Elephas maximus indicus: one gene and its partners. The protein of the gene in region 2 interacts with the protein of the main gene of each other region in a biochemical or structural test. Links are inferred from orthologs where the notes say so. Each region holds a gene or a part of one and is shown on either strand. Other genes may lie near its edges.

What was found.
Region 1: the proteins of PRKCB (region 2) and RACK1 form a complex in vitro, tested with the Homo sapiens proteins (2 studies listed by BioGRID). The link is inferred for Elephas maximus indicus from reciprocal best matches to the Homo sapiens genes PRKCB and RACK1.
Region 3: of the proteins of PRKCB (region 2) and RASGRP3, one has a biochemical effect on the other in vitro, tested with the Homo sapiens proteins (2 studies listed by BioGRID). The link is inferred for Elephas maximus indicus from reciprocal best matches to the Homo sapiens genes PRKCB and RASGRP3.

What each region holds. Positions count from the first base shown.
Region 1 is NC_064820.1:199,939,164-199,942,912, forward strand, and holds the start of RACK1 (receptor of activated protein C kinase 1), read left to right. Parts: upstream 1-1,131; 5' UTR 1,132-1,183; coding exon 1,184-1,292; intron 1,293-1,548; exon of another isoform or gene 1,549-1,616; intron 1,617-2,303; coding exon 2,304-2,475; intron 2,476-2,843; exon of another isoform or gene 2,844-2,919; intron 2,920-3,088; coding exon 3,089-3,236; intron 3,237-3,460; coding exon 3,461-3,556; intron 3,557-3,749. Other genes in the region: uncharacterized protein LOC126067361, read left to right, coding at 683-1,131. UniProt on the Homo sapiens protein: Scaffolding protein involved in the recruitment, assembly and/or regulation of a variety of signaling molecules. Interacts with a wide variety of proteins and plays a role in many cellular processes.
Region 2 is NC_064830.1:84,018,906-84,022,654, reverse strand, and holds the start of PRKCB (protein kinase C beta type), read right to left. Parts: upstream 3,028-3,749; 5' UTR 2,821-3,027; coding exon 2,648-2,820; intron 1,663-2,647; coding exon 1,631-1,662; intron 1-1,630. UniProt on the Homo sapiens protein: Calcium-activated, phospholipid- and diacylglycerol (DAG)-dependent serine/threonine-protein kinase involved in various cellular processes such as regulation of the B-cell receptor (BCR) signalosome, oxidative stress-induced apoptosis, androgen receptor-dependent transcription regulation, insulin signaling and endothelial cells proliferation.
Region 3 is NC_064844.1:33,288,516-33,292,264, reverse strand, and holds the start of RASGRP3 (ras guanyl-releasing protein 3), read left to right. Parts: upstream 1-1,115; 5' UTR 1,116-3,749. UniProt on the Homo sapiens protein: Guanine nucleotide exchange factor (GEF) for Ras and Rap1.

The DNA of each region.
Region 1 (3,749 bases), on a different chromosome or scaffold from region 2:
GCACATTGTTCCCCCATCTCTCCACATGGCCCTCTCCCAGATCTAATTTCCTGTCTCCAATGTCCCACTCAACCACCCATCACCACCAAAGAATGTAAGCGCCAAGAAGGGGGTCCTCGTTTCTTTGCAGCTGTATCACCAAGACCTAAAACACGACGTGGTGCCCAAGGGATGTGAACTAAATAAGTTACACAGATTAATTCTATCAGGCATTGTTCTGGGCGCTTTACCTTTCTTGACTCGATTACTCTCCATAACACCAGGTGAGGTAGGCACTATCATTTCCAATCGTATTTCAGAGAAGAGACTAACGTTAAAGCATATTACAAATAGAAAGTAAATATGTATGTTGTTGGGTGCCATCCAGTCCGTTCCGACTCAGCGACCCTATATGACAGAGTAGAACTGCCCCCATAGGACTTCCAAGGAGCAGCTGGTGGATTTGAACTGCTGACCCTTTGGTTAGCAACCGAGCTCTTAACCACTATGTCACCAGGGCTCCAAATACTATATACAATCCCCCCTTTATTTTGTACAGGTGATAACGGCTGCGGTCCTCCCGATCTACTTCCCTGAGCGGCGTTCTGGCATGAAAATATGTTAGGGTTTGAGAGTTCACCTGAGCATGGTTCGAAAGTTTATGTTTCTTTAATACGGCTTTTTTCCCCCAAATTGCCCACAGGTACTCACAGTTGGGATCTCGAAATTAAGTACCCGCTTCATTGTCCTCTGAACTACCAAGCGGAAAGGGCGGGGCTCGCGTTGTGCCACCTAGCGGACGGTGAAGCCGTAAGGCGATCCTCATGGGAATGTGCCGTACATTTCAACTCTTTCACGTCTAAGAAATCACACCCCAGCAAAGGTTTAAGGAACCTCTTTAAATATTCGGTCGTGATAGTTTCAGAGTGTATTCGTGCGGAGCTGTCAAATTATGTTGCGTGGCGGAGGGGACGTGTCGTGCGATTTCAACAGCTGTTTCGGCTACATGGCGCTGCCATCTTAAGCAGAAGTGAATCATGGGAGCCACCATTTTGGTCGGGCGGGCGGGTATTTCCGGTTCCGGCAGTGGGTTCCTCGATCTTTTTCTACGCAGGGCCGCGGCGAGAGCGCCGGTGCTGCTGGTCTCTCTGAGCTATCTGGTGCCATCCTCGTCGCTGCGGCGACCCTCGCACCCGCCGCCGTCATGACTGAGCAAATGACCCTTCGTGGCACCCTCAAGGGCCACAACGGATGGGTTACCCAGATCGCTACCACTCCACAGTTCCCGGACATGATACTGTCTGCCTCGCGAGGTACGTACTGAGGTGCAGGAGGAGGGTTGCGCGCCTTACGAGGCTGGGCTGTGGTGCGCGAGTCGCGGGTCCGAAAGACTCCGCCGGGGTTTGAGGGGGGACATGTGACCCGGCTGAGCCCGGTAAGGCATTCCCATCATTGCTAATGAAGTACCGAGGAACAGCCTGTGGCCGCCAGGAGGGTGGGAGGTTTCTTTATAGCCTTCACGCTTCTGCACGGTGTAGCTAGTTGTGCCCACGAGCCTACAGGCCTGGCGGAGCGGTGATGATTACAACATGCCATCTGAGCATAGGTGCTGAGACCCAGAGGCTGTTTCTGAGCTGTCGCCCGGCCCTCGGCTCTTTTGGGAATTGGTGGTCTCCAGGGGAGCTCCATGGCACAAACCTGGATTTGACCGGCACCTACTCTATGCCCTGGCTTCTCTTCCTCTCATTCTCGGTCGGCCTGAGTGCGTTTGGAGGCTTCCTGTGCTTTCCAAATGCTCCCACACTGGGAGTTTTTTGAAGCTAGGATTAGGGCTGGCCCTTAATTGTAAAGTTTATAGTGTAGGACACGTTTTAGTGAAATCATCCAACCCTGTAGCGTGCAGAACAACTTTCCAACACTGATTCACTTCTGGCAATCCTCAAAAATAGTCCCGGTGCCCACGACGAGTCCTCTACACCCAGGCTGCTCTGTTTCTGCATTAGACCTCAGATAGGACACGAAAGGGTTATTGAATTGATCTCAGTCTCAGCCCCTAGCAAAATTCTGAACCCCTGATTTACATTTGTATGAAAGACTTTTTAGTTTTATCTCTCTATTCCAGCAAGTAACTTCTTACTAGCGTATAGTTTACCTCCTTGTCAAGCTTCTCTGTAATTTGTCATCTTGTAAACCCATGACCTCGAGACATTTTGGATTATCCAGTAATCAGCAAGGTAGCTGCAGAGTTCAGACTGGCAGGATGGCTAGTATAGAGGAGGGCAGAGTTTCTCAATGGGTTTACTTTTTGTTTTATCTCTCCTTAGATAAGACTATCATCATGTGGAAGCTGACTAGGGATGAGACCAACTATGGCATCCCCCAGCGTGCTCTGCGTGGCCACTCTCACTTTGTTAGTGACGTGGTTATCTCCTCTGATGGCCAGTTTGCCCTCTCTGGCTCCTGGGATGGGACACTGCGCCTCTGGGATCTCACAACGCAAGTACCTGCTCGCTTAGCTTTGGGGCCTTGGGGGGAAAGCTGGGCAGAAATGAGGAAAATGGCTGAGTCCTCCCTCCTTGGTTGATTCAGACTCAGAGAGACCCTAGAAGACAGTAGAACTGCCCCATAGGGTTTCCAAGGCTATAAATCTTTACAGAAGCAGACAGCCACATCTTTCTCCTGTGGAGTGGCTGGTGGGTTCAAACCACCAACCTTTGGTTAGCAGCCAAGCGTTATAACAACAGTGCCATGTGGGCAATTTGAATTGAGTGAAGCAGTTAGGAGTACACACAGTGGTTTGAAAATGTTTGGCCTTGGTAGCTCTGTCCTGGGTGTTGGTCAGCTGGTGACAATTATAATGGAGCATCCTGGTGATGACAGATGACATTGTCAGCTGATCCCCATGTGGGAGTGAGGACATGTCCTGCAATTCTGAGGGATTCTCTGGCATATACTCAGACAAAAGCTTGCTGTGGTCAGAGCCATAGCTTGGGTTATCTGAGTAAAGAAAATCCCCTGGGGACAGGGACAAGGCCCGGAAAATGATGTGACTGTGGTAGGAGAAAGTTTGCAAGGTGTCTGTAGAGAGTGACCAGGTCCTCCTTCTCAGGGGCACCACCACACGACGATTTGTGGGCCATACTAAGGATGTGCTGAGTGTGGCCTTCTCTTCTGACAACCGGCAAATTGTCTCTGGCTCCCGAGATAAAACCATCAAGCTGTGGAATACTCTGGGTGTCTGCAAGTACACTGTACAGGTAAAGTGAAGGCATGGGGGAAAGAGTGCATCTTTGAGGTTCATTCCCGCTCTTCCTCTTAAACGTTAATCACGTGTGGTGGTTTCAAGTATTGTCTGGCATCTAAAAGTTTCGGGACGAGAATATAAGACTGCTAGCATCCATCTCACATAGCTGAGAGGAGGAATAGTGGTCTAGAGTTTCATGGGCCAGAATGTTTCCCCTTATTTCTCTGTCTCCTGTAGGATGAGAGCCACTCGGAGTGGGTGTCTTGCGTCCGCTTCTCCCCCAACAGCAGCAACCCCATCATCGTTTCCTGTGGCTGGGATAAGTTGGTCAAGGTGAGCTTGGAACCAGGGCCACAAGGCCTTTACCAGCCAGAAACTGCTCCCATTGCATCTAGATGGTCATAGGCTCCAACTCGGAAACCTTTGCAGATTCTCTCCTGAGACATTTCTGTCCAGCATGCCTTTCATCCTAACCAACCACCTGGAGTTAGGTCAGATCTCACAAGCTAAATGTTAGTGTTCTCTA
Region 2 (3,749 bases):
TCCAGCTCCTTGCTGAGCCTAGATCTCAGGTGAAAGAACTTGTGAGTCTCAGAGGATGGCAGTACCATGCCACCAAGCATTCTGCACAACTGACATTGGTGCCTACACTCACCGGGGAACACTTTACTTTTCCCGAAGGGTGGAAGTGCAACCACAAGGCTGTCATTCAGTGATAACTCACATCTTAGACTCTTTATGTTCAAAGGCTTTCTTCTTCTGGCTTTCACCCAGCTCACCATAATGGTCAGTTTAACCCTAAGGCACACCCCAGAAATAAGACATTTCTCACCAAACTGGCCTAAGATTAAAAAAAAAAAAAAAAAGATTAGGGGAGAAAAAACTTTCCAGAGGAGAGGTTGCAAACTAAATACCTACAGGGGCCAGAAATGAGTGAAGCAAGTCTGCTCAGGATTGATTGTGACAAAATACTGAATGTGTGTGCCCTGTCTTTGAAAATAATTTGCTCTCCAGCTCCAAAAAGGATTGCTGTAACAAGAAAAAGTGGGACCATTTCTCAGCAAAACTGGAAATTCTGATTTGTAGGTGAAATCTCCCAGTTCTAAAATGTTGGCCAAAATAAAAAAATGTCTAAGAACTCCCTAAGGGCTGAACCTGGGTTGTACAAACAGTTAAGGATGGACTTCTAGCCCAAAGGGTGGCAGTTCAAAACCAGAGGCACCTTGGAAGATAAGTCTGATAATCTGCTTTCAAAAGGCCACAGCCCTGAAAACCATAGGGAGCAGTTCAACTCTGCACAAATGGGGTCACCGTGAGTCTGAGTCTTCTGAATGGCACCTACCAACAACAACAAGGGCTGAACAAGCCTACAGGTGATTTGACCCTGGGCAGCCAATTTGCAACCTATGTTTTATGACAGTAACCCGACACAGCCAAGGTCCCCTCACACATGATTAAAAGTCACCACCATGGAGTGGAACATCTCAGGTTAGAGTCAAGGATCCCAACCCAGATGCAAGGATGGAGGAAACCAGTAACTTGAAGTCCTAGCTGTATCTACCCAGAAGACAGAAAGGATGATTTGAACGAGGATCTGAGAGGTACCCATCTGGAGCCACCTCTTTCAGAGGGAGGAGGCCCAGGGGACAACCACAGTTGCCTTTCTAGGGGAGGCACCATCTGCAGAGAAGGCAGCCACATGCAGAGCTCTCTGGGAGGTGGGGGAAGAGGCAGAACCTCACTCTAGGAGACAAGGAAGGGCAAGTGAGTACCTGAGGGGGCATGAGTTAGAGAGGAGGAATCCTCCCAGAAATGGCCCCTGGAGACACTTCCTGCAGAGGCAGGACTGGCAACACCATGGAAGATTCAGGAGACCCATTCTGACTCTTCAGATGCTTGAAAGGGAGAAAGAGTGGATAGCACTTCCTTGCCATTTAGGGCCTCCCAGTTCCATCAGCCTTTCTGGGACAGAGCATCACTGCCCCTCACACACACACACACACACACACACACCTTAAAAGGACCCTTTTTCGCGATGAATTCCTAGCCTGGAGGTCACTCTGACGGAAGTGGTTCCTTAGATCTAACTCGCTCACTTCTACAGACCCTTTCACCATTTCTTCCCACAAAGGGCATCCCCAGAACCCCATAGCCCCAGGACCCTGGTGCCTACCTTGGCACTGGAACCCTTGCTTTCCGAAGCCCCTGCAAAGGCAGAAAGAGATAACGTCAGGGAGCCCACAGCCGCCTGCTAGTTCCCCCACAGTCCCCCCTCCACCCTACCCCTTTACCCCAGGTGCAACCTCCTAGCCGCAGGCGAGTGCCCGAGAGGCTTCCGCCTTTGGGGGGTAGGTGGGAACTCGGCGGTAACCTCAACCTCCCCTCACCCTGGCAGAGGGGAGGTGACAGCGACCACCGGGTGTGTGTGTGTGTGTTGTGGGGGAGGATTGCATTTCCATCCGGTGGGAGTGGAGAGCAAAAGGGAGATCTACCCACAGATGCCCCGAGTACCCTCGGGGAAAGAGAAGCTGTAAAGACGCACCCAGAGAAGGATGAGAGGGGAAGGAGACCTGGGGGGACTGGGAAGGGAGAAAGGAGCCCCATGCCTGGATGGACGGGAGCGAAGAGGGTTCGCGATGACAGGGGAGGACTGGGGAGTGGAAAGGGCCACTCCAGGCCCCTAGGGAGGCGCGATAAAAGAGAACATGGAGCGCGGCATGCTGCCCCCCGAGACACTGAGAGCAGAAAAGGATGCCCCATGCCCACAAGGCGCTGGAGAGAAGACACCCGGAGCACTGCCCCCGGAAACGGGGTGGGGGTAAGGGCGCCTCCCGCCTGGAAGGAGACAGAGAGAGGGGTAACCCAGGGCAAGAGGGCACCCGAAGCGCTGCTCTCCCCCGGACGGACAGGCGCCCCGCGCTCGGAGCCAGGTGGAGGGGAAGGCGCCCGCGGCGCTGGCCGGCTGCTCTCGGGAGGGACCGGGGAAGAAGCGAGGGCAGGAGGCTCCGCGCGGCCAGCCGTCTGGGGCCGGGGAGAGGGACGCCACAGAACAGTCCGCCGGGAGTCCGGAGCAGAAGCGTCCGGCGCGGGGAGCTTGGGGACACGGGGCCCCTGGGGGCGCGAGAGGATCCCCGCGCGCGGCGCTGCCCTCGGGGGCCGGGCAGGCACCCTGCGCCGGGCGCGCTCTCACCAGATGAAGTCGGTGCAGTGGCTGCAGAAGGTGGGTTGCTTGAAGAAGCGGGCGGTGAATTTGTGGTTCTTCACCTCGTGCACGTTCTTCTGCCGGAGGGCGCCTTTGCGGGCGAAGCGCACCGTGCCCTCCTCGCCCTCGCTTGGCGATGGCCCCGCAGCCGGGTCAGCCATCTTGCGCGCGGGGAGCGGGAGCCCGAGAGGGGCCAGCCCCGGGGCGGCGGGCTGCGGGCCCGCGAGGCCGGAGGAGGCGGCCGCTGCTGCTGCCGGGGCCGCGGGCTCTTCCCCTGCGCCGGCTCTGGCGGCCGCGGCGCGCGGAGCTGGGGCTGTCACTCGCCCAGCTGCCGCCGCTCGTCCAGCTGCGCTTGGCACCGCTGGCCCCAGCTGCGGAGGAGGGAGGCGGAGCCGGGGCTGACCCCGCCTCCCTCATTTGCATCGGGCCCAGGCCCCGCCCCGCGCCGCCAGCTGCTTTACATATTGGCACCCCGGCAGCGGCCGACCTCCGAGCGAAGTGTCCTCAGCCGCAGCTCTGCGGCGCGGTTACTGCAGCCCGCCCTCGTCAGCCCTGAGCCCCGACCCCTCACCCCGGCCTCGGCCCGCGGCTGCGTTGAGGAGATGAGCACCTAGAGGGCACCCAGGCGGTACCGAGAGCGGAAGCACCCGACGGGGGCTGGGGGACCGGTGGGTGGAAAGGGTGGACACCGCGGGTTCCACACTGGCCTCTGCAGAGACTGGTACCCATCCACCCCCATTCATATCATTGGTCATTCTGCACGCCTCTCCTGTCACTCATTCGGAAAGGCCTGTGGCTGGCTCCCCACACTTGAACACACCTACACACATACACACACACGTTCTGCAGAAGTAGGAGGAGCGACATTGTACGTATATGTATATATGTATATGTATGCATGTTATGTATATGTATATGTATATGTATATGTATATGTATATGTATATGTATATGTATATGTATATGTATATGTATATGTATATGTATATGTATATGTATATGTATATGTATATGTATATGTATATGTATATGTATATGTATATGTATATGTATATGTATATGTATATGTATATGTATATGTATATATCCA
Region 3 (3,749 bases), on a different chromosome or scaffold from region 2:
TATCCCTTCCTCCCTGCCAATACAATTAGAGAAGAATCTCTAAGCTTCTCTTGTCTTTCCTGAGGATTTTGCTGTTGGCAGCAATGGGTTCCCAGCATCTGTCTTTCCTCAGGAATTCCTGGGTGGTGCAAATGGCTAATGCACTTAAATGCTTACTGAGAGGCTGGATGTTGAAGTCCACCCAGAAGCTCCTCAGAAGAAAAGCCTGACAACCTACTTCTGAAAAATCAGCCATTGAAAACCCTATGGAGCACAGTTCTACTCTGACACACATGGGGTCACCATGAGTCAGAACTGACTCAATGGCAACTGATTTTGTTTCGTTTTGTTTTTGGTCTTTCTTTAACTATGTGATATGCACTGGGTCATCAGAAAAATTAACAGTTAATTGCAAATAGAGTGGTAGATGCCATAAGGTCACAGAAGTTTTTTACTGTAAATATGAAGTAAAATATGCCAAAATAGTATTTAAAATCTTCGATTGACCCCCTTTTCTGTTTCGGATTGGAGACTGTCACATCAACACACGAACAAAATGCCTACCAAGATGACATGTGTCTCTCACTCCAACAAAGCTGGCATTAATCCAAAAATAATGAATGTTAGAGAGGTTGTGGAGAGACTGGAACACTTATACACTGCTGGTGGAAATGTAAAATGGTACAACCACTTTGGAAATCAATTTGGTGCTTCCTTAAAAAGCTAGAAATAGAACTACTATACGATCCAGTAATCCCACTCCTTGGAATATATCCTGGAGAAATAAGAGCCTCTACAAGAACAGATATATGCACACCCATGTTCATTGCAGCATTGTTTACGATAGCAAAAAGATGGAAGTAACCAAGGTGCCCATCAACAAATGAATGGATAAATTATGGTATAGTCACACAATGGAATACCACACATCGATAAAGAACAATGATGAATCCATGAAATATTTCATAACATGGAGGAATCTTGAAGGGATTATGCTGAAATTAGTCAGTTGCAAAAGGACAAATATTGTATGAGACCACTATTTTAAGAAGTCAAGAAATAGTTTAAACAGAGAAGAAAATAATCTTTGATGGTTACGAGAGGAGGGAGGGTGGGAGGGGTATTCACTAATTAAATAGTAGATAGGAACTACTTTAGGTAAAGGGAAAGACAACATACAATTCAGACGAGGTCAGCACAACTGGACTAAATCAAAAGCAAAGAAATTTCCTGAATAAACTGAATGTTTCGAGGGCTCGTGTAGCAGGGGTAGGCGTTTGGGGACCATGGTTTCAGGTAACATCGAAGTCAATTGGCATAATAAAATCTATTAAGAAAACAGTCTGCATCCCACTTTGGAGAGAGGCGTCTGGGGTCTTAAACGCTAGCAAGCGGCCATCTAAGATGCATCAATTGGTCTCAAGCCATCTGGATCAAAGTAGAATGAAGAACACCAAAGGCACAAGGTAATTATGAGCCCAAGAGACAGAAAGGGCCACATAAATGAGAGACTACAACAGCCTGAGACCAGAAGAACTAGATGGTGCCTGGCTACAACCGATGACTGCCCCGACAGGGAACACAGCAGAGAACCTCTGAGGGAGCAGAGCAGTGGGATGCAGGCCTCAAATTCTCGTAAAAAGACCAGACTTAATGGTCTGACCGAGACTAGAAGGACTCCAGAGGTCAGGGTCCTCCGACCTTCTGTTAGCCCTAGACGGAAACCATTCCCAAAGCCAACTCTTCAGATAGGGATTGGACTGGACTGTGGGATAGAAAATGGTACTGGTGAAGAGTGAGCTCCTTGGATAAAGTAGACACATGAGACTATGTGGGCACCTCCTGTCTGGAGAGGAGACGAGAGGGTCAGAAGTGGGCTGAATGGACACGAAAAAAGAGAGTGGAGGGAAGGAATGTGCTGTCTGGTTAAAGGGAGAGCAACTAGGAGTATATAGCAAGGTGCATATAAGTTTTTGTATGAGATACTGACTTGGTTTGTAAACTTTCACTTAAAACACAATAAAAATTAAAAAAGTACAGACAACTCCCTCTATTAAAAAAAAAGGCTTGTCTTAGCACATGATATTTGTAGTTTATTTCTATTACAAACACTGAACCATCTTCATGGATACATCTTGATGCTTGCAAAATTTTTCTCTTTGGATGTTGGGGTTTCACCCCTGACAGTATGGCAAGCCTGAGATTATCACTTTTTTCTTCTTTTTCTGTTATTTTGGAAAAACACTGTAGTCTCTTTATGGAGTAAAACTCCTGGTTTGGTTATCATTGGAAATAATTATGAAACAAAGCCCAGGTATGAAAAATTGTCCATACAGGCTCCTCTGTTGAGTAAGATCTCACTCATTAAAAACCAAAGTTGACAGTTTAACAGGCTCATCATTGTTCCAATGGGTTTCACCACATCAAAGATGTAGAAATTGTTCACTACAGATTTGTAAGTAAGCTCAATTAAACCCATGCTAACCTTGCTGACTTGATAATCTACCCCTGTCAGAGATTGTAAATTTGAAAAAAGGCTTTGATTCCATAGGAGGGTGCTGTGGGGTTGGGACAGAGACAGATGCTAGCCATACCTAGAAGCAGAATCTTCGATGTGGTGAAAAAATGTGAAAGTATTCACTAAAGATGATCTGTTGAGCAAGGTAAGCACTGTGCTTACCTTGCCTATTGGATAATCTGCCCCTGCCTGGGGGACCATAACTGTTTTGTTTGGATGTTCATTTTGCCAAATGAGCTGACTCCCTGCCGTATCTACATTGTATCCAAAGGGGTGAGCTCAGGCACTGATTTTGAGAAGTGTGACCCTTAATATACCAAAAAATCAGATACCCAAGAGGCTTTCCCTAGTGAGGGGGAGAGGGAGGGAGGGACAATCACTTCAGGTGAGAAGGGCAAAGTCAACAAAGTCCCAGGATGATTGCAGTGAGCACAGAAAACAGACAGTTGGCCCAATTTCTTAGCAGACCAAAGGGGGCAGCAGAGCTCCCATAAAGTGCTCTGAAAGTTCAGTGATTATTTCTGTTTTTGCTCACAGCGGCCGATCACTGCTCTGCTCTCCCTTAACATGTTGACATAATCCAGCAGGCGATTATGTGGAAATCTGGTCTTAAGCTACCTAAAATGATTTCCATTAACTCATTAAAAAAATTATTTTGTTGTAAAAATACATATAACAAAACATTTGCCAATTCAGCATATTTTACAGGTACAATTCAGTGACATCATGTTGTGCAACCATCTCTACTATCCATTTCAAAATTATTCTACCACCATAAACAGATACTCATAGCCCCCTAAGCTAAGATTCCTCATTCTACCTCCCTCCCATCCCTGGTAACCACTAATAGACCTTGGTCTCTATATTAATTTGCCTACTATTTGCACATAAGTGGGATCATACAGTGTTTATCCTTTCATGACTGCCTTACTTCACTCAGCATAATGTTTTCAAGGTTCCTCCATGTTGTAGCACGTATCAGGACTAATTTCCTCTTTATGGCAGAGTCCATTAGCTCTTTAGACAAAGCTGTATCTGGCATTCTTCATCAAACCCGTCATATATATGCCCCCTCAGCATCATTTGTCACAGCAGCCCTGGCCTTTTCATACTATCCATACCAGTCTGTGAAATGAAACCTGAGCATTCTTAGACCGTTAGTCGGGGCCTGCCTTCCTTGGGGCAGTCCACCCCATCTTGTGGCTGTGCCAACAAACTGGAGCTTTGGGTGCTGAAAAAATGAAACCAAGAT